Linked DNA regions of Anolis sagrei. The protein of the gene in region 3 interacts with the protein of the main gene of each other region in a pairwise test. Links are inferred from orthologs where the notes say so. Each region holds a gene or a part of one and is shown on either strand. Other genes may lie near its edges.

Region 1 (7,283 bases), on a different chromosome or scaffold from region 3:
ACAATAATCATCATCATCATCATAAATATAATATAGGAATGGATCCAAAGCCATAATAATAATAATAATAATAATAATAATAACAATAACAATATAGAAACTGATCCTTCTAAGCCAAAATAATAACAATAACAATAATAACAGTGCCTATATCTCTAGAGTGAGACAATGCACAACAAAATCCAGTTCTCTGCCCCAAAGAGTTTACAAAAGAAATGCAACGTAAGCAGAAGAGAAGGGAAGTGGTGGGTTCATGCCTATTTCCTCCCTTCTGTTTATCTGTGTTTGAACAAATGGTTCACACAAAAAACAGCCTTCTTTGTCCATTCCTGTTCTCTGTGTCCCTTCCTCCTGATAAAAGACCGAAAGGGGACTCTGAATGAATGATTAATGGGGAAAGTTGGCCTGATCCCCAGTCACGAACAGGAGACACAGGGCAACATGGATGGGCCTTATAGAAAATATTAGCAGTATTCTTTAATCCCGAGGTACAGTGGATCGAGAAGGCTGAAGAGAAGGAGAAGAAATATTATTATTAATATTCTATTAATAATATTTTATTACAATATTAATTTTAGTCCATGGGAAATAATAATAATAATAATAATAATAATAATAATAACAATAATAATAATATCCAGCGTCCTTTTCCTTTTTCCTGCTGTTTTCATGTTTCTTTAATTCGGTTTAACCAAATTTCCCATGGAACAGTCCAATTGTGCTTAGAAGAAGTCCCATTCTGCACAATCCCTTATTAATTAATGAATTAAATAATAATAATGATAATGGTATTCATAGAATATCATATAATAATATCATATCAAAAATATAATAATAAATAAGATAAAATAATAAAAATAATATAATGTACAATGATGATAATAATAATAATAATAATAATAATACATTTTTATTTATGTCCTGCTTTTCTCCCACAAAGGGATCCAAAGCTTCCTACATATTACAGTACAAAACAATGGCAATTAAAACAAATATATAAACATATAAAACAATCAATAAACATTCATATGCATTTTAAATAATATATACATTAATGTGGAGTCTTGTCAGATCATATTGCAGATCACTATATAAATCGTAATGATAATATATCATATATACTGTAATACTATAATAATCATAATATTGGTAGTCACAGAGCCATATTATATAATAATATATAATATCGATAATCATCATAAATAAATAAATAATATATTTTCTAATATAATAATATATTATAAGAAAATAAAATACAATAATGCAATGCACTATAAATTGTAATAATGGCCTATCATAATAATATAGAATAAGAATAATACACCATAATAACATACAATATCGTAATTTTTAAAATGTACTGTGCCAATCCTTGAGGTTTGTGTTAAAACAGATGAAAACACATTATTATCATTAATATTATTATGATTATTATTTATACCCTACTTTTCTCTCCAAATATTACTATATTATTATATTTGTTTAATGGTTCACCCTCTAGTTCACCTTGAAACTAGATTCTTTTTCTTATTTTCCCATATCTGAAAGTAATATTGTTATATTTGCTTAATGTTTTCCCTTCCAATAACAACAACAATAATAATCTTGTGCTTTGAGCCTCTTCAATGGAGAGAAAAAGCAGGGTATAAAAATAATAGTAATAAAAATGAAAAAATGGCAATAATAATTTCTGAATATAACAATAATCTGAATAACAGTAATATGAATTAAAAATTGGAAAGTAAGAACAATAATATAATTTCAAGGTAAACTGTAGGCTAAAACAACAATAATACTCTCATTGATTTCAAGGTAAACTAGAGGCTAAAACAATAAATATAATAATAATCATCATCATAGAATAAGAACCTCATTTATTTCAAGACAACTGGAGACTAAAGCATTAAACATAACAATAATAATATAACAATAATAATAATCTCACTTATTTCAAGGCAAACTGGAGGCTAAAATAGCAATAATAATAATAATAATAATCTCACTAATTTCAAGGCAAACTGGAGGCTAAAGCATTCAATATAATAATAATAATAACAATAATGTCATTTATTTCAAGACAAACCAAAGGCTAAAACTATTATTATTATTATCTAATTTATTTTAAGGCAAACTGGAGGCTAAAACATTAAACATAATAATAATAATAATAATAATAATAATAATAATAATGTCATTTATTTCAAGACAAACCAAAGGCTAAAACTATTATTATTATCTAATTTATTTTAAGGCAAACTTGAGGCTAAAGCATTAAACATAGTAATAATAATAATGTCATTTATTTCAAGACAAATCAAAGGCTAAAACTATTATTATTACCTCATTTATTTTACGGCAAACTGGAGGCTAAAGCATTAAACATAATAATAATAATAATAATAATAATAATAATGTCATTTATTTCAAGACAAAACCAAAGGTTAAAACTATTATTATTATCTCATTTATTTTAAGGAAAACTGGAGGCTAAAGCATTAAACATAATAATAATAATAATAATAATAATAATAATGTCATTTATTTCAAGACAAACCAAAGGCTAAAACTATTATTATTATCTCATTTATTTTAAGGGAAACTAGAGGCTAAAGCATTAAAAATAACAATAATAATAATAATGTCATTTATTTCAAGACAAATCAAAGGCTAAAACTATTATTATTACCTCATTTATTTTACGGCAAACTGGAGGCTAAAGCATTAAACATAATAATAATAATAATAATAATAATAATAATATCGCATTTATTTCAAGGCAAAACGGAGGCGAAAGGATTAACATCATCACAATAATATAACAATCTCATTTATTTTAATCTCACTCAGACAATAATAAATATGCCCATGGATTACAGTTTGACATTCCCATTAAAGGGCGCTTCTTACCGCCTTCAGCTTCGGCTTCTCCTTCCGCGTCTCTGCAGCTCAGGCCGAAGCGTCCTCTCTCAGCTGCAGCCCGGGCGGAAATGAAGCGAGCATGCGCACACGGACCCGTGCGACGCGAGCATGCGCACACGGATGATAAGCGTGGCGAGCGTGCGCAGAGGGGGGAAAGACCTTAGGGGAGAACGCCACGCATGCGTAAAGGGGCCGGGACAGGGCTGCGGAAGAACGTGAGCGAGCCCCCGCTGAGCAGTTGCCTGGGGCGACCGTTGCCCCTGGCAACAGCATTGGGCCTACTCCTTCAAAAGGCCCTTCACTTGGTTTATTTACGGACAATATTTAATTTTAAGAAAACAGTGATAGGGGAGATATGCCCAATTAAATGCACAATTGCAGAAGTTAGCCAGAAGAGATAAGGAACTATTTTTTAAACAAGCAATGCATGGAAGTGGAAGAAGACAACAGAATAGGAAGGACAAGAGACCTCTTCCAGAAAATTAGAAACATTGGAGGTAAATTTCAGGCAAAAATGGGCATGATAAGAAACAAAGATGGCAGGGACCTAACAGAAGCTGAAGAGATCAAGAGAAGGTGGCGGGACTATACAGAAGATCTGTATAGGAAGGGTAATAATATCGAGGATAGTTTTGACAGTGTGGTTGAAATCGAGCAGGAATTTAGAAGGGTCTGGCCCTGAAGGAGAAACCCTGCGGACCCACCAAGAAGGGCTCGCTACAGTGGTGAGCAAGAGAAGCCGCAATTTAAAACATTTTCCCCTAAGTTCCCAAAAAGAATCTCAACAAAGTTGAAGGAGGCGCCACCGAGATGATTTTATTGCGATCCAGCTGGAAAGGATGCAAATCAGCAATATTTCACCAAGCTAAGCATAACATGTACACAAATAAAAGCCTTTTTTATACAGTAACAGAGTTGCCAAGTTTGAATTTCCCACTCTCCGCCCGGCTTGATGGTGATTGGCTGGCGCCTCTACAGCTGGGAGGAGGCTCAGCCGCCTACCGAGCGCCTGGGCCAATCACTGAGCTTCTGCCGCCTCGGCGCCTCGATGAATCAGGAGAGAGGGAGGCGGGACAAGGGGAAACAATGCATTCTTGGGTGGATTATGAAGATTAGGAAATGTCCAAGTGACCAGCGAGTCCTAAGGGCCTGCAAGCCAGTCTGGCTATTGTCACTGAGTGGTTGCAATAAACATTAATGTTTGGTGATCCTGCCATAATCTGGATTTTCCCAGGGCTGAGACATAGGAACAATGGGGGAACTTTGGTGGAAGTTTCAGTGAGAGAAAAGTTGAATGGATGACAGATTAGGACGGTGTGCGGCTTTCCGAAGGCCTCCTCCGTCCTAATGAGATATGATCAAAATTGCCAATGGACCATTTCCTCTGGGGGACTAACTCTGAGCCCAGAGGTCATGACCCTCTTCTATTGTCCATGCAATTGAGTCTTCTGATAAGGGTCTTTTCAACTGGTGATTTTCCTTCCATCCTGGATCACAGAGGGGTGGCTGCCTTGCATTTTTATACATTTTTCAATAAAGGGGAATTGGGCAAAAGGGTCAGGAAAAGGTCAGATACATTGGGGAAAATATAGAAATATAGAAATCATAATTTTATTTATTTATTTATTTAGAACTTTTATATACCAGTCTTCTCACCTCCAACGAGGGACTCAGGCTGGTTTACAACAAGGGGGTTCATACACAATAGTTTAAAAACATCACATCAATAATACACTAATATAAACACATTAAAGTACTATCATATAATTATATAAAGCCAAGTCGTTACAGAAAATACACCCACCTATCCCTCCCCCCTGCATCCCATTGGGAAATTGATAAGAGCCTTGATCATGGCTCAATATATGTCCATAGTCCATTATAGGAAAATCCATAGATGAAAGTATGTCCTTAAAGGGAGAAAAGTCTTGATGTGGGGCAAAAAAGGTTCAAGAATCATAAGGAGAGGCTTGGTGATTCCACTGAGCCAAGATATGGAGCTCTGCCTCGTTGAGGCTGAAGCTCGTCCTTGGAGAACTATAACTCCTTCCAAGGGCTGGAGCCAGGTGACAGACCCACTCCCCGATGGCCTCATGGGGCGACCGCATCAAGTCCCCGGGTCCTGGGGCTCCAGAAGGACGAAGAAACAGCAATGGCGGGAGCAATGCAGCAGCAAGAAAGCTTGGATTGACAATCAGCTGTTTTTCTTTTAAAATATATTCTCAAAAATAAAAAAAGGTTATTCCCCGAGAGCAGGGGCCCGAGATGCAAAAAGCGAGATAGCAGATAGTGTTAGAATTCAGCTAGGAAAAATATGGCACCAAAATGGAGTTGTTTTGTCAACTCGCGGATACAGGGTCCCGAGGGGTTTCCGTATCTGCGGTTTGAAGAAACGCAGATTCAGCCTCCCCGGGACGCCTAGGAGGCATCCTGGGCAGGCCAGCGGCTGCCCGCAGCCTGGAAAAGGGTAAATTCATGCATTGCATACTGGTGAGCCAAGAAAAGGACACAATGTATCACTATGAAGAGGTGAAGGTTACAATTCAGTTAGTCTTTATTAGGGGTTTCGTTACAATGTTAGGGCGGGGGAGAGAAGCAAAAGGAGAGAGCTCAAGGTTGCAGAGTCCTTGGTTGAGGCTGCTGCTGAGGCACATTTCATCAGTGCTGGCCCAACGGGGCATCCAGGAACTGTGGAACTCCCTGCAGCTGGTCAGATCAGCTCACTCATGGTGAGTGAATTAGAACCATACATCCTGAGGAGTGACGTTGAATGGGCCTTAAGAAGCATTGCTAACAACAATGTTTTAATTGCACTGACACTGTTTGATAATTGTACCATGTAAACCGCATTGAGTCGCCTGTTAAGGGCTGAAAAATGCGGTATAGAAATAAAGCAAATAAATAAATAAATAAACAAGACAGCAGGAGATGACAGGATCCCATCTAAACTGATTAAAATCTTGAAAGATGATGCTGTCAAGGTGATGCATGCCATATGCCAGCAAATATGGAAAACACAAGAATGGCCATCAGACTGAAAAAATCAACTTATATCCTCATATCAAAAAAGGGAAATGCTAAAGACTGCTCAAACTTTCATACAGTGGCCCTTATTTCTCATGCCAGTAAGATAATGCTCAAGATCCTGCAAGGAAGACTCCAGCAAGACATGGAGCGAGAGTTGCCAGTTGTACAAGCTGGGCTTAGAAAAGGCAGAGGAACGAGAGACCAAATTGCCAATATCCGTTGGATAATGGAGAAAGGGAGGGAATTTCAGAAAAACATCTATTTCTGTTTTATTGACTATTCTAAAGGCTTTGACTGTGTGGATCATAATAAATTGTGGCAAGTTCTTGGTGGTCTGGGCATACCAAGTCACCTTGTCTCTCTCCTGAGGAATCTGTATAAGGACCAAGTAGCAACAGTAAGAACTGACCATGGAACAACTGACTGGTTCAAGATTGGGAAAGGCGTACGGCAGGGTTGTATACTCTCACCCAACCTATTCAACTTGTATGCAGAACACACCATGCGATGTGCGCTGCTTGATGAATGCAAGGCTGGGGTAAAAATTGCTGGAAGAAACATTAACAACCTTAGATATGCAGATGATACCACTTTGATGGTCGAAAGCGAGGAGGAGCTGAGGAGCCTTCTAATCAAGGTGAAAGCGCAAAAGCTGGGTTGCAGTTAAACATAAAAAAAAAGATTATGGCAACAAGAATGATTGATAACTGGGAAATATGGGGAGAAAGCATGGAGGCAGTGTATGTATATGTATATTGCCACTGCAACGCAACCTCACATCATTATATTGTCACCATTTTTATTTTGTTATTACTTTTGATTTTATTCTTATTAAAGAATAAATATTATATGCTTTATTTTATATTTATTTCATTCTTATTTTTCATTCTATATAAATAATACATATAATATTATTCTTTAGATAGAGCTTATGTCTCCTGCAATAAGCTATTTTTATTTCCTTTTATTTTATATTTTATTTTATTCTTATTTTTCATTCTATATACATAATAATTATAATTTTAAAAATATTGTTTTTATTCTATACTAGCTGTCCCCTATCACACATTGCTGTGGCCCAGTCTGTGTATACGTGTTTTGTGTGTCTATATATGTGTGTAGGGTAAAGGTAAAGGTTTTCCTCTGACATTAAGTCCAGCCGTGTCCAGCTCTGGAACTCTGGTGCTCATCTCCATTTCTAAGCCGAAGAGCCAGAGTTGTCCATCAACACCTCCAAGGTCATGTGGTCAGCATGACTGCATGGAGCAGTATCTATTGATCTACTCACATTTGCGTGTTTTCGAACTGCTGGGTTGGCAAAAGCTGGGCCTAACAGA
Region 2 (7,322 bases), on a different chromosome or scaffold from region 3:
CCTTCTTTGTTTGATTCCACAGTGCTCTCTGGATGTGGATGAACTACAACTCCCAAACTCAAGGTCAATGCCCACCAAAGCTTTCCAATGTTTTCTGTTGGTCATGGGAGTTCCGTGTACCAACTTTGGTTCAATTCCATCGTTGGTGGAGTTGAGAATGCTCTTTGATTGTAGGTGAACTATAAATCCCAGCAACTCCCAAATGACAAAATCAATCCCCCTCCCCCCCCCCCCCCCCAAATCCCACTAGTATTGAAATTTGGGCGTATCGGCTATTTGTGCCAAATTTGCTCCAGTGAATGAAAAAACGTCCTGCATGTCAGAGATTTACATTATGATTCAGAACTGTAGCAAAACTGAGGAAGACCATGGCATGAGCAATAATAATATTATTAATAGTAATAATAATAATAATAATAATAATAATAATAATAATAGTAATAATAATAATAATAATAACCTTTATTTATACCCACCATCTCCCCAACAACAGGGACTCGGAGCAGCTTACAAGAGGCCAAGCCCAAAAATCAAATTGCAATACCAACTCATGTACTGATTAATAAACTACGTGACAGAATTTTTTTAATGGCAGCCACAAAGATTTTGGAAGATAACGACTACTTTCAAAGTACGTACCACACAATTAAGCAGGAAATAATACTTTCAAACCAGGAACAGATTTTTTTCCCCCAAATTTTGTGACATAGTGTAAGATTAATTGTCTGACATTGATCAACAGCAGCCTCGTTATGTTATTGCATAATGTTTGCATCTTTAAAGATGTTTTTGCTAACCACACCAAGTCCCAGTTATGTGGGGCCAGCCTGCGTAAAACATACTTCAATGGGGCATCAAGTGAGCCTAGCCGCTTACCGATGAGCTCTGGGTCAGGAACAGACTCTTGTAGTTTCCCGGTGATGAGCTGCTTGAGGTAGGAGATGCTGCAGCCGCCCAGGGGACACTCCCCCAGCTCCGTCTCCGGCAACCTCAGGATGGATTTGGGAGCCAAGGGCTGGTCGGCCAGCTTGACCGCAATGTAGCACTCGGAGAGGGACATGGCCTCGGCCTCCTCGGGGGGGCTCGGCTGCGCAAATCTCCAGTCTGGGCTCCAAGCGGAACCTGGAAAGAGAACACCACGGGCGTCAGAGTCACGCAAGCAGCCACACCATTGATCTCAAGCAGGCATGGGAAGACTTCGGCCCTCCCTCCAGGTGTTTTGGACTTCAACTCCCACAATTCCTAACAGCCAGTAGGCTGTATTGTCGAAGGCTTTCATGGCCGGAATCACTGGGTTGCTGTAGTTATTTCGGGCTGTCTAGAGGCATTCTCTCCTGACGTTTCGCCTGCATCTATGGCAAGCATCCTCAGAGGTAGTGAGGTCTGTTGGAAATAGGAAAAGGGGTTTATATATCTGTGGAATGGCTGGGGTGGGGCAAAGAGCTCTTCTCTGCTAAAGCTAGGTGTGAATGCTGGACCACTCCAACAACCACCATGTCAGACTATTCAGTAAAGCCATTGAAATCCACAAGAAGCATGTGGACAATTTCAACAGAAAGGAAGAAACCATGAAAATGAACAAAATCTGGCTACCAGTATTAAACAACTCTAAAATTGCAACAGCAAAACAGCAGAGAGGAAACAACCAGGCACATCTTAACACCTCTCAGCAAGAGAATTTCCCAGGCTCAGCCAGGCCTTCAAATGCTAATGAACAACTTCCCGTACCTCGGGAAGTCTGACTTGGCCACGGTAGTCCACGCTCTGGTTACATCCCGTTTAGACTACTGCAACGCTCTCTACGTGGGGTTGCCCTTGAAGACGGGCCGGAAGCTTCAATTGGTCCAACGTGCGGCAGCCATGATACTAACAGGAGCAGGACGCAGGGAGCATACAATGCCCTTGTTGTACCAGCTCCACTGGCTGCCGATTTGCTACCGGGCTCAATTCAAGGTGCTGGCGTTGGCCTATAAAGCCCTAAACAGTTCCAGCCCAAGATTCCTATCTGACCGCATCTCGGCCTACGAGCCCACCAGGACTTTGAGATCTTCCGGGGAGGCCCTGCTCGCGATCCCGCCTGCAACACAGGCACGCCTGGAGGGGACGAGAGACAGGGCCTTCTCGGTGGTGGCTCCTCGGCTGTGGAACGCCCTTCCCGTGGACATCAGACTGGCTCCTTCCCTGATGGTATTCCGCAGGAAATTGAAGACTTGGCTGTTCAGGAGGGCGTTTGAACAAGAAGTGCAATGATTGGTAATGACGACAGGAATGGAACAACGGAAAATGAGACTGGATTGTGGTTTAGATGATGAGACGATGCGAATGGCTTTTTGTATTTTGATATTGTTGTGTTTTTGTTGATGATGTTTTTGATTATTGCTAGACTGATATTTTTGATTGTGTTGAATTTTGAACCTTGTCCTTCTATGTTGTACACCGCTGTGAGTCGCTCTCGGGCTGAGAACAGCGGTATATAAGCAAAGTAAAGTAAAGTAAAGTAAATAAATAAGGTAGTCAGCTGAAACATTCACCCCTAGCTTCAGCAGAGAAGAGTCCTTTGCCCCACCCTGGTCATCATTCCACAGATATACAAACCCATTGTCCTATCTCCAGCAGACAAGAGTCCTTTGCCCCACCCTGGTCATCATTCCAAAGATATATAAACCCAATTTTCCTACTTCCAACAGACCCTTTCAAGAAGAGTTTGCTCCAGGCACAGTCAGCCCATTGTATGCTAATCAAGGTGGTCAGCTGAAACATTCACACCTGGCTCCAGCAGACAAGAGTCCTTTCTCCCACCCTGGTCTTTCCACAGATATATAAACCCAATTTTTCTAGTTCCAGCAGACCTTGCTACCTCTGAGGATGCTTGCCGAGCCGCGCCTGCCCCCCTTTCCTCCCTTTCCTCCCCTTACCTGGTTGTTTACCACCGAGGCCCTGGTCCAGCCGGAAGCGCTTCCCTGAGCCCGCGCGAGGCATGCCGGGCGCCGTAGTTCTGAAGCGGAGGAAGGGGCGCGCGCATCGCGGCTAGGCAGCTGGCGTCACTTCCCCTCGCCCCGAGCGGGGCATGCTGGGAGTTGCAGTTCTTTCCCCAGCCCCGCGCAGGCGCGAAGGACTCCTATTCTGACGTCAGAGCGCTCCCTGCGCCTCCGCCAATCAAGGAAGGGCTGGGGAAAGGAGGCGGCCAATGGGCGCGCGCGGCGAAGGCCCGGGGCTGGTTTGAATGGGAAGCGCCCCCTCTTGGAAGGAAGGCGCTTTGAACTCCCTCCCGAAATGAATACAAAAAATCAGGCACATCTAATCACCTCTCAACAAAAGATTCCCCCAGGCACTGCCAGGCCATCCACTGCTAACGGAGGTGGTCAGTTGAAACATTCCCACCTAGCTTCAGCAGAGAAGAGTCCTTTGTCTCACCCTGGTCATTATTCCAAAGATATATAAATCCATTTTCCTACTTCCAACAGACCTCACAACCTCTGAGGTTGCTTGCCATACAGAATTAATTCTGTGATAATTATTTTATTATATATATTATATATTATATAAAGTATATAATATAATATAATATAATTATAATATAATTTTAATGAGGTCACGAAGAGTCGGAGACGACTGAACGAATGAACAGCAACAGCAACATAATTTTAATATAATTATATTATATAATATATATTATATAATATATATATATAATATATATATAATATGTGTGTTATATATTTGATATAAGTGTATATTTTATATATTTATCCAAAACTCGTATTTATTTACTGGGTTGTTGTAGGTTTTTTCGGGCCATCTGGCCATTCTCTCCTGACATTTCGCCTGCATGTATGGCAAGCATCCTCAGAGGTTGTGACGTCTGTTGGAAGTAGGAAAAATTGGGTTTATATATCTTTGGAATAATGACCAGAGTGGGACAAAGGACTCTTGTCTGCTGGAGCTAGGTGGGAATGTTTCAACTGACCACCTCGGTTAGCAGTGGATGGCCTGGCTGAGCCTGGGGGAATCTTTTGTTGAGAGGTGTTAAGATGTGCCTGATTGTTTCCTCTCTGTTGTTTTGCTGTTTTAATTTTAGAGTTTTTTAGTACTGGTAGCCAGATTGTGTTCATTTTCATGGTTTCCTCCTTTCTGTTGAAATTCCCCAAATGCTTCCTGTGGATTTCAATGGCTTCTCTGTGTAGTCTGACCTGGTGGTTGTTGCAGCATGTCTGAGTTCTCAAATAATATGCTGTGTCCAGGCTGGTTCCTCAGGTGCTCTGCTATGCTCTGCTATGGCTGACTTCTCTGGCTGAAATAGTCCACAGTGCCTTTCATGTTCCTTGATTCGTGTTTGGGCAACGCTGCATTTGGTGGTCCAAACGTTTGGTATGATGTTATTGTTTACTGTTTGCGTTTTTGGTTGCGTCTTGGTTTTCTTCATTGTAATTGTTGTTCGGGCCTGGCCTCATGTAAGCTGCTCCGAGTCCCCATCGGGGAGGTGGTGGCGGGGTATAAATAAAGTTTATTATTATTATTATTATTATTATTATTATTTGGGAGTTGTGGTTGCTGGGATTTATAGTTCAACTACAATCAAAGAGCATTCTCAACTCCATCAGTGATAGAATGGAAGCAAACCTGGCACACAGAACTCCCATGAACAACAGAAAACACTAGAAGGGGTTGGTAGGCATGGATCTTGACTTTGGGAGTTGTAGTTCACCTACATCCAGAGAGCACAGTGGACTCAAGCCATGACGGATCTGGACCAAATTTGGCAGAGATGATGAGGAGATATTGGAAATATATATTTATTGGTTTATGCATAAAAATCATATGTACTTTATAAGCACTGAAATGCATAGAATATTCAGGCTCTCTCTCCTGTGTAAGGAAACCAAGCTGTGTCCAGGCACAGCAATGCTATCTAAACATTCCAGGAGAGAGAGATAAGCCCTAATGGGAGCCATGGACTGGTACTAAGAAGCACCTCTGACAGGTCCAAGTGGCCTCTTGATGGATGACTGTAAGCACAGCCAAGAGGGAGGAGGGACACTCCATGCTTGCTTTGGTTTCAGCAAGACACAGAGACATGCTTTTTGCATGTTGGAGGTTGGAACCTGATATTCTTATGATGCCAGGATGACGTAGGGATGATGATGATTGTATGAAGACGTATGTTCTTTGTTTCATTCCGATTGGAGACTATAAAAGGCCAGTCCGCACCTTGATCGGGGGCTCTGGGTTTTGCTTTTGGGACACGAGTCCCACCAGAGTCGCCAGCTGGAAATAAAGCCGTACCTTTTCTGATCTCCAGAAAGGATGTCTCTTGGTAAATATCTCTCCTTTCCTCAAAACCTGTTTCCCTGCCATTTCACAGATACTCCATATGCCCAAATGTGAACACTGGTGGAGTTTGGGGAAAATAGATCTTGGTATTCGGGAGTTGTAGTTGCTGGGATTTATAGTTCACCTACAATCACAGAGCATTGTGAACCCCACTAAGGATAGAATTGGGCCAAACTTGGCACACAGAACCCCCATGGCCGCCAGAAAACACTGCACTTTCTGATGGTCTTTGGTGATCCCTCGGACACCCCCCTCGCGACCCTCAGGTTGAGAAGCGCTGCTCTAAGTGGCCCATGGTCAACGCCCCAAGGATGACCAGCAGAAAGACACGCTAGGGTTCATTATGGGGCAGTGGCCTAACAAGGCCCTCATCCTTTCTCTGTGGCTTTTCTGGGTGCATCATTCCAGGCGAGGGCCAACCTGGGCTGCCCGGGTGTGTTGGACTCCAACTCCCACCATTCTGGACACCCTTCCTTGTCCTTTTTGGGTTTCTTTATTGATTAGCCCTGATTGAAGATAGAGAGGGAGGAGATAGAGATACAGACAGAATAATAATAATAATAATAATAATAATAATAACAACAACAACCATAATAATTATAAAACTTTATTTGTCCCCCGCTACCATCTCCCCAAGGGACTCGGTGCGGCTTACATGAGGCCGAGCCCACAATACATCAATAAACAATAACAACAATAATACAAAACAATAAAATAAAACTCATAAACAAAAAACAAACAGTAAGCATTAACAATAGCACAACAGAAGATAGAGATATACAGAGATTAGGTTCTTGTAGGTTTTTTCGGGCTATAGGGCCATGTTCTGGAGGCATTCTCTCCTGACGTTTCGCCTGCATCTATGGCAAGCATCCTCAGAGGCAGTGAGGTCTGTTGGAACTAGGAAAAAGGGTTTATATATTTGTGGAATGATGACCAGGGTGAGACAAAGGACTCTTGCCTGCTGGAGCTAGGTGGGAATGTTTCAGCTGACCACCTTCATTAGCATTTGAAGGCCTGGATGACCCTGGGAAAATGTTCTGTTGAGAGGTGTTAAGATGTGCCCGGTTGCTCCCTCCTCCTGTTCCTCATTATATTATTATTCTATTATTCTATTCTCTCATCATTCCATTCTGATTGCGGAGTCGAGGGAGGGCAGAAGACCCGCCTCCCGTCTTCGGGCGCCATCTTGGGGCCGGGCAGGAGCCCCGCCTGCTTCCTTTGGGCGCCATCTTGGAGCCGGGCAGAGGCCCCGCCTCCTTCCTTCGGGCGCCATCTTGGGGCCGGGCAGGTGCCCGCTTGCTAGGGATCCGCCCGGCGCGCTTCCTTCCTTCCTTCCTTCCTTCCTTCCTTCCTTCCTTCCTTCCTTCCTTCCTTCCTTCCTTCCGGAGAGACAGAGAGTTCCCGGAGGAGGAGGAGGAGGAAGCAGGTAGAGTGTCCCCGCCGGAGGGAATCCCATCAATCTACATCTCGAGTATGGTACTGATCTATATGTTTGTAATAATTATAGATAATATGAGATAAAGGAGAGGAGGGAGGAAGAGGGGAAGGGTCAGGAAATAGGCACACACACACACCTCCCTCTCTCTCCCTCTTGGATGTTTCAGTTGGATTCTTTATTTCCTTTTATTATTATTTCACTCCCATTAGAATCATAGAATCATAGAATCCTAGAGTTGGAAGAGACCTCCTGGGCCATCATCCAGTCCAACCCCATTCTGCCAAGAAGCAGGAATATTGCATTCAAAGCACCCCTGACAGATGGCCATCCAGCCTCTGCTTAAAAGCTTCCAAAGAAGGAGCCTCCACCACACTCCCTCCGGGGCAGAGAGTTCCACTGCTGAACGGATCTCCTTACAGTCAGGAAGTTCTTCCTCATGTTCAGATGGAATCTCCTCTCTTGGAGTTTGAAGCCATTGCTCCATTGCGTCCTAATCTCCAAGGAAGCAGAAAACAAGCTTGCTCCCTCCTCCTCCCTGTGGCTTCCTCTC
Region 3 (7,489 bases):
TCAGTAGCTACGATTTGCACAATTCATGACCTTGTTATTGTGTTTGCTTGGCCAGGTTTCATGACAGATCTCACCATAGGTTATTGGGTGCTGGTTTTGAGTATAAATTATTGCTTTATTTATATGTTTTTGGTTTTATTCTGTATTGTATTGTTTACTTATTTTATGTAATGTTTTAGGTACATTGTGCCATACGTAAAGTCCCTTTGGGGTGATGGAGGCGGGTACAAAAATAAATTTATTATTATTATTACAACAGTCTCGCTTATCCGATGTTCCGTCTCATTCGACACTCTTATCCAATGCCCCCCCCCTTTCCTCCAGCATTTAACCTTCAATTGAAGGAGCGCTCACCAACTCTCTCCATTCCCAATAAGTGAAAAAAGTAAGACGAGGAGGAGGAGGTCCTCTAAATTTCATGCTCCTCTTCCGAATCCGGGCACTTCCTGCTTAGCCGCTCTATCCCTGAGGCATTGCCTTGCCTTAACCCTTTGAATCACCGTTGTTAGTATTCTAGATGTCTAATGGATGGCTAACAGTAGGAGATTCCATTATTATGCAACATTTTTGTTTATCCAACATTCTTCTGGCCTGTTTATGTCGAATAAGCGAGACTCTACTGTATTGTTGAAGTCTTTCATGGCTGGAATCTCTGGGTTGTTGTAGGTTTTTTGGGCTGTATGGCCATGATCTAGAAGCATTCTCTCCTGACGTTTCACCTGCATCTATGGCAGGTATCCTCAGAGGTTGTGAGGTCTGTTGGAAACTAGGGAAATTGGGGTATTATATCTGTGGAAAGGAACATGAAAGGCACTGCAGACTATTTCAACCAGAGAAGTCAGCTATAGCAGAGCACCTAATGAATCAACCTGGACATAGTATATTATTTGAGAACACAGAAATGCTGAGCACTTTAACAACTACCATGTCAAGTTACACAGAGAAGCCACTGAAATCCACAAGCATGTGATCAATTTCAACAGAAAGGAGGAACCATAAAAATGAACAAAATCTGGCTACCAGTATTTAAAAAATCAGGATAGTAAATAAAGAACAAAAATAAAAAAGAAACAATCAGGGACACTAATTGCCTCTCAACAAAGGATTCCCCCAGGCAGTAAGAAGCCAGACCTTGAAAACCACTAGGCCATTAAATGCTAATCAAGGTAGCCAATTGAAACATTAACACCCACTGCACCACTGGGGGCTCCAACTGAGCAGAAATTGGGAGTCCTGCAGCAAGCAGGGACCAGCGGAAGGCAGAAAAATCCCCCTTGGGAAGGCTGCTGAGTCTGAGACTGCTATCCTTTCAAGGGGTCCTGAGGATTCGCAAAATGCCTGGTGAGCTATTAAAGCCAGTAAGATTTTCCCTTTCCCCAAATAATTCTCACCAGGTTGAAGAAAGGCCACCAAAGTTTATTTCTATTCCAGTTGGAAAGGTTGGGGTTTCAATATCACAGATATAGTAAAGGTAAAGGTTTTCTCTTGACAGTAAGTCCAGGCGTGTCCGACTCTGGGGGTTGGTGGCCATCTCCATTTCTAAGTCGAAAGGCTGGCGTTGTCTGTAGACACCTCCAAGGTCATGTGGCTGGCATGACTGCAAGGAGCACCGTTACCTTCCTGCTGTAGTGGTACCTATTGATCACCTCACATTTGCATGTTTTCAAACTGTTAGGTTGGCAGAAGCTGGGGCTGACAGCAGAAGCTGTCGAATCCCCGGATTCGATCCTGCAACCTTTCGGTCAACAAGCTCAGCGCTTTAACCCACTGTGCCACTGGGAGTTCCTTATCTGTGTCACAGATTTAGAAACACACTTTTCCTAGTTTCCAACAGACCCCTCAACCTCTGAGGATTTTTTTTTATCATGTAAGAAGTGACTTGAGAAACTGCAAGTTGCTTCTGGTGTGAGAGAATTGACCATTTACAAGGACATTGCCCAGGGGACACCTGGATGTTTTGATTTTTTTTACCATCCTTGTGGGAGGCTTCTCGCATGAGGAGCTGGAGCTGATAGAGAGAGCTCATCCACGTTCTCTCTGGATTCGAACCTGCGACCTGTGGTTTAACCCACTGCGCCACCGGGGGCTCCTCTGAGGATGGCTGTCATAGATGCAGGCGAAACGTCAGGAGACCCGCCTACCTGCGTGACCGCATCTCCGCTTACAAACCCACACGCTCACTTCGTTCATCCGGAGAGGCCCTGCTCGCGATCCCACCTGCGTCGCAGGCGCGTTTGGTGGGGTCGAGGGACAAGGCCTTCTCTGTGGTTGCCCCCCGACTTTGGAACACCCTCCCCAAAGACATTAGACTTGCACCCACGTTGGCAGTCTTTAGGAAGAACTTGAAGACCTGGCTATTCCGATGTGCCTTTCCAGAATAGGATAACCTCCAGCACCTTGTCCCAGAAGCACTTTACTAGAGTTTAATACTCTCTGCACATTGCACTTGCCCAGAACTCCAACATACCACCTCTCACATCCAGCACCTTTTTTAACCTGAACCCTTCATTGGCCTGGCCCTGATTTTATTGTATAATAGTGTAATGTTTTGTTGTGTTATTGCTTATGTTTTAATTTGCTTGCATCGTTATTGTCTGTTGTTGTTATGTTGAGGCCTTGGCCTTTGTAAGCCGCATCGAGTCCTTCGGGAGATGCTAGCGGGGTACAAATAAAGTTTAATAATAATAATTAATAAAAATGCTTCTGGAACATGGCCATACAGCCAAAAAACCTAGAACAACCCAGAGACTGGACTGTATTATTATAATAACCAAACAACAAACAATCAATAGCGGAGAAAAGTGGGTATGTGCAGATTTGAGGGCGGAAGAGAACTAGAGTAAAGTTATTAGGTTCTTGTGGGGTTTTTCGGGCTATAGGGCCATGTTCTAGACGTTTCGCCTGCATTTATGGCAAGCATCCTCAGAGGTAGTGAGGTCTGTTGGAATTAGGACAAACGCACCAAACACAGCGCCCAAACACAAATCAAGGAACATGAAAGGCACTGCAGACTACTTCAACCAGAGAAGTCAGCCATAGCAGAGCACCTGATGAACCAGCCTGGACACAGCATATTATTTGAGTACACAGAAATGCTGGACCACACCAACAATCACCATGTCAGACTACACAGAGAAGCCATTGAAATCCACAAGCATGTGATCAATTTCAACAGAAAGGGAGACCATGAAAATGAACAAAATCTGGTTACCAGTATTAAAAAAACTCTAAAATTACAACAGCAAAACAGCAGAGAGGAAACAACCAGGCACATCTTAGCACCTCTCAACAAAAGGTTTTCCCAGGCTCAGCCAGGCCTTCAAATGCTAATGAAGGTGGTCAGCTGAAACATTCACACCTAGCCCTAGCAGAGAAGAGCTCTTTGCCCCACCCCAGCCATTCCACAGATATATAAACCCATTTTCCTATTTCCAGAAAAGTGGGTATGTGCAGATTTGAGGGCGGAACAGGACTAGAGTAAAGTTGTTGTTATTATTATTTGGAAGTAAACGAAAACAAATCCCTCAATTTTCTGGGGTTTTTTCCCCTCCCAGACCTCCCCTCTCCTTCTCCCTCTCTCACCCGCCTTCCTCCTCTTCTTGTCCGCCCCCGGAGCCGCCGCCTCCTCCGTCTCCTTCTCCCCCGCTTGGCTCGGCCCCACCGCGGCCAGGCTCCTCCATCCCGCCGCCTCCTCCTCCTCCTCCTCTTGGGCCTGGGCCCGCCCTCGGCCTCTCCTCGGCGCGCCGGAAGTGCCGCGGGCGTGACGTCGCAAGAGCGCGCGGGGTAGAGAAAGAGAGCATAGCCAGGCCTTTAGTGATGACGCGTCGGTGGTTGCCAAGGCGACGGCGGAGGAAGCCGTCCCCGCCCCAATAGGAGCGATGGCGAGGGAGGGAGGGAGCCGAGGAGGGAACCAAAGAACTCCAGCTCCGCCCCTTGACCTGAGAAGAGGCCCCGAGCCCTTCTCCTTGGGACACAAAGCCGTTCTCGGAGGAACTGACGGGCGGAGGGAGAGAGGGAAGGAGGGAGAGGCGCAGCGGTGACTCGGCAAGCGCGTGACGTCATCAGTGCCTGCCACGCACGGCCTCTCACCCTTCACCCCGGATGCCTCCGCGGAGGGAAATAGTCCCTCGGTAATCTGCTGCTAGAGGACGCCTCGCTTATTAGTCAGGGAAGGGGAGGAAGGGAGGCCGCGGCGGGGCTTCTCCGGAAGGGGAACGAGTAAGGAAAGAAGGAAAGACGGGCCAGAGAGAGGTAGAGAGAGAGCCTGAGTGAGATCCGGCACGGTATCCTTCCGCCTGCGGGAGCGGTGCTGAGGCCGCGCCGCCGCCATTTTGGATGCCAGGCTGCTGGTTCTACCGCCGCTGCCGCCGCCGCCTTTGCCGCCGGGACCCGGCCCGGTGAGTGAGCGAGGGAGCCGGGGAGGGAGCCGGGGCCCGGAGGAGGCAGGAAGGGGAGGACCCGCCAGGAAGGAAGGAAGGGAGGGAGGGGAACACTGGGCCCTGCCCGGCCCTGCCTGGCCGGGTCGGAGTTGGGCCTCACCGTCAGGTCCCTTGCTGCAGGGAACTCTTCTCCCCTCCACTGTCTTCCCTCCCTCGCGCCCTCCTGGCTGAGAAGGCCTTCCTCTTGAAGGCAGAAAGCTGTCAAAGCCAATCCTGGTCATTTTTTATATACAAGCCGTCCCCGGGTTGCAAACACCTGACTTACAAACGTGTCCTAGGTCAAACGAAGCTCAGACAACAGGAAGTGGGAGGAACCCACTCCATTATATTAGTTCTATCTGTCATATAGTAGTCCCAGAGTTGCAAATGACTCCTAGTTCAAAACCTGGCTGAGACAACAGGAAGTAAAAGGAATCTTCCCCTCAGAAGGAAGGGAAATCCACTCCCGGAAGAGTCATCATCAGGGGGAAAGACTGGGTGGCCTTTGGGGGTTCCTTCCAAATTTATGATACTAGTTCTATCTGTCATATGGTAGTCCCAGAGTTGCAAACATCCGACTCACGAATGACTCCTAGTTAAAAACCTGGCCGAGACAACAGGAAGTGAGAGGAATCGGAAGGAAGGGAAATCCACTCCCGGAAGAGTCATTGTCAGGGGGAAAGACTGGGTGGTCTTTGGGGGTCCCTTCCAAATTTAGAATACTAGTTCTATCTGTCATATGGTAGTCCCTGAGTTACAAACATCTGACTTAAATGACTCCTGGTTAAAAATCTGGATGAGACAACAGGAAGTGAGAGGAATCGGAAGGAAGGGAAATCCACTCTCGGAAGAGTAATCATCAGGGGGAAAGACTTTGGGAGTCCCTTCCAAATTTATGATACTAGTTCTATCTGTCATATGGTAGTCCTAGAGTTGCAAACATCCGACTTACAAATGACTCCTAGTTAAAAACCTGGCTGAGACAACAAGAAGTGAGAGGAATCTTCCCCTCGGAAGGAAGGGAAATACACTCCCGGAAGAGTCATCATCAGGGGGAAGACTGGGTGGTCTTTGGGGGTCCCTTCCAAATTTATGATACTAGTTCTATCTGTCATATGGTAATCCCTGAGTTACAAACATCTGACTTAAATGACTCCTGGTTAAAAACCTGGCTGAGACAACAGGAAGTGAGAGGAATCGGAAGGGAAATCCACTCTCGGAAGAGTCATCATCAGGGGGAAAGACTGGGTGGTCTTTGGGGGTCCCTTCCAAATTTATGATACTAGTTCTATCTGTCATATGGTAGTCCCTGAGTTGCAAACATCTGACTTACAAATGACTGCTAGTTAAAAACCTGGCTGAGACAACAAGAAGTGAGAGCAATCTTCCCCTCGGAAGGAAGGGAAATCCACTCCCGGAAGAGTTATTGTCAGGGGGAAAGACTGGGTGGTCTCTGGGGGTCCCTTCCAAATTTATGATACTAGTTCTATCTGTCATATGGTAGTCCCTGAGTTACAAACATCTGACTTACAAATGACTCCTAGTTCAAAACAGGGCTGAGACAACAGGAAGTGAGAGGAATCTTCCCCTCGGAAGGAAGGGAAATCCACTCTCGGAAGAGTCATTGTCAGGGGGAAAGACTGGGTGGCCTTTGGGGGCCCCTTCCAAATTTATGATACTAGTTCTATCTGTCATATGGTAATCCCTGAGTTGCAAACATCCGACTTACAAATAACTCCTAGTTAAAAGCCTGGCTGAGACAACAAGAGCAATCTTCCCCTCGGAAAGAAGGGAAATTTACTCTTGGAAGAGTCAGGGGGAAAGACTGGGTGGCCTTTGGGGGTCCCTTCCAAATTTATGGTACTAGTTCTATCTGTCATATGGTAGTCCCTGAGTTACAAACATCCGACTTACAAATGACTCCTCGTTAAAAACGCGACTGAGACAACAAGATGTGAGAGCAATCTTTCCATTGGAAGAAAGGGAAATCCACTCTCGGAAGAGTCATCATCAGGGGGAAATACTGGGTGGTCTTTGGGGATCCCTTCTAAATTTATGATACTAGTTCTATCATAAATCACACACATGCACCTACAGGTAGTCCCTGAGTTTAAAACATCTGACTTACAAATGACTCCTAGTTAAAAACGAGGCTGAGACAACAGGAAGTGAGAGGAATCTTCCTCTCGGAAGGAAGGAAAATCCTCTCCTGGAAGAGTCATCATCAGGGGGAAAGACTGGGTGGTCTTTGGAGGTCCCTTCCAAATTTATGATACTAGTTCTATCTGTCATATGGTAGTCCCTGAGTTACAAACATCTGGCTTACTAATGACTCCTAGTTAAAAAAACCTGGCTGAGACAACAGGAAGTGAGAGGAATCTTCCTCTCGGAAGGAAGGGAAATCCACTCTCGGAAGATTCATCGTCAGGGGGAAAGACTGGGTGGCCTTTAGGGGTCCCTTCCAAATTTATGATACTAGTTCTATCTGTCATATGTGTGTATCACACACATGCACCTACAGGTAGTCCCTGAGTTTAAAACATCTGACTTACAAATGACTCCTAGTTAAAAACGGGGCTGAGACAACAGGAAGTGAGAGGAATCTTCCTCTCGGAAGGAAGGGAAATCCACTCTCGGAAGAGTCATTGTCAGACTGGATGGCCTTTGGTGTCCCTTCCAAAATTGTGATACTGTATCTATCTCCCATGTATATGTGTGTGTGTCAGGCATGGGTAAACTTTGGCCCTCCAGGTGTTTTGGACTTCAACTCCCACAATTCCTAACAGCCACTGTCAGGAATTGTGGGAGTTGAAGTCCAAAACACCCAGAGAGCCAAAGTTTACCCATGTCTGTACACACACACACATACAGGTAGTCCCTGAGTTACAAACATCCATAACACCTGGAGGGCCGAAGTTTGTCCATTGCTGATATATATGTATATATGCACACACATATACAGGTATTCCCTAAGTTATAAACATCCAATTTACAAACAACTTTTAGTTAAAAATGAGGCAGAGACAACAGGAAGTGAGAGGAATCTTCCCCCTCAGAAGGAAGGGAAATTT

The links. The genes of interacting proteins can lie anywhere in the genome.
Region 1: the proteins of AP1G1 (region 3) and AP1B1 interact in a two-hybrid assay, tested with the Homo sapiens proteins (2 studies listed by BioGRID, with this or other methods). The link is inferred for Anolis sagrei from reciprocal best matches to the Homo sapiens genes AP1G1 and AP1B1.
Region 2: the proteins of AP1G1 (region 3) and ubiquitin-like protein 7 interact in binary tests that used the Homo sapiens proteins (3 or more experiments, as listed by UniProt). The two-hybrid records come from large-scale screens. The link is inferred for Anolis sagrei from reciprocal best matches to the Homo sapiens genes AP1G1 and UBL7.

What each region holds. Positions count from the first base shown.
Region 1 is NC_090034.1:48,666,752-48,674,034, forward strand, and holds the start of AP1B1 (AP-1 complex subunit beta-1), read right to left. Parts: upstream 3,015-7,283; 5' UTR 2,908-3,014; intron 1-2,907. UniProt on the Homo sapiens protein: Subunit of clathrin-associated adaptor protein complex 1 that plays a role in protein sorting in the late-Golgi/trans-Golgi network (TGN) and/or endosomes.
Region 2 is NC_090023.1:274,625,894-274,633,215, reverse strand, and holds the start of ubiquitin-like protein 7, read right to left. Parts: upstream 3,015-7,322; 5' UTR 2,980-3,014; coding exon 2,916-2,979; intron 1,123-2,915; coding exon 877-1,122; intron 1-876.
Region 3 is NC_090028.1:29,557,803-29,565,291, forward strand, and holds the start of AP1G1 (AP-1 complex subunit gamma-1), read left to right. Parts: upstream 1-4,301; 5' UTR 4,302-4,397; intron 4,398-7,489. UniProt on the Homo sapiens protein: Subunit of clathrin-associated adaptor protein complex 1 that plays a role in protein sorting in the late-Golgi/trans-Golgi network (TGN) and/or endosomes.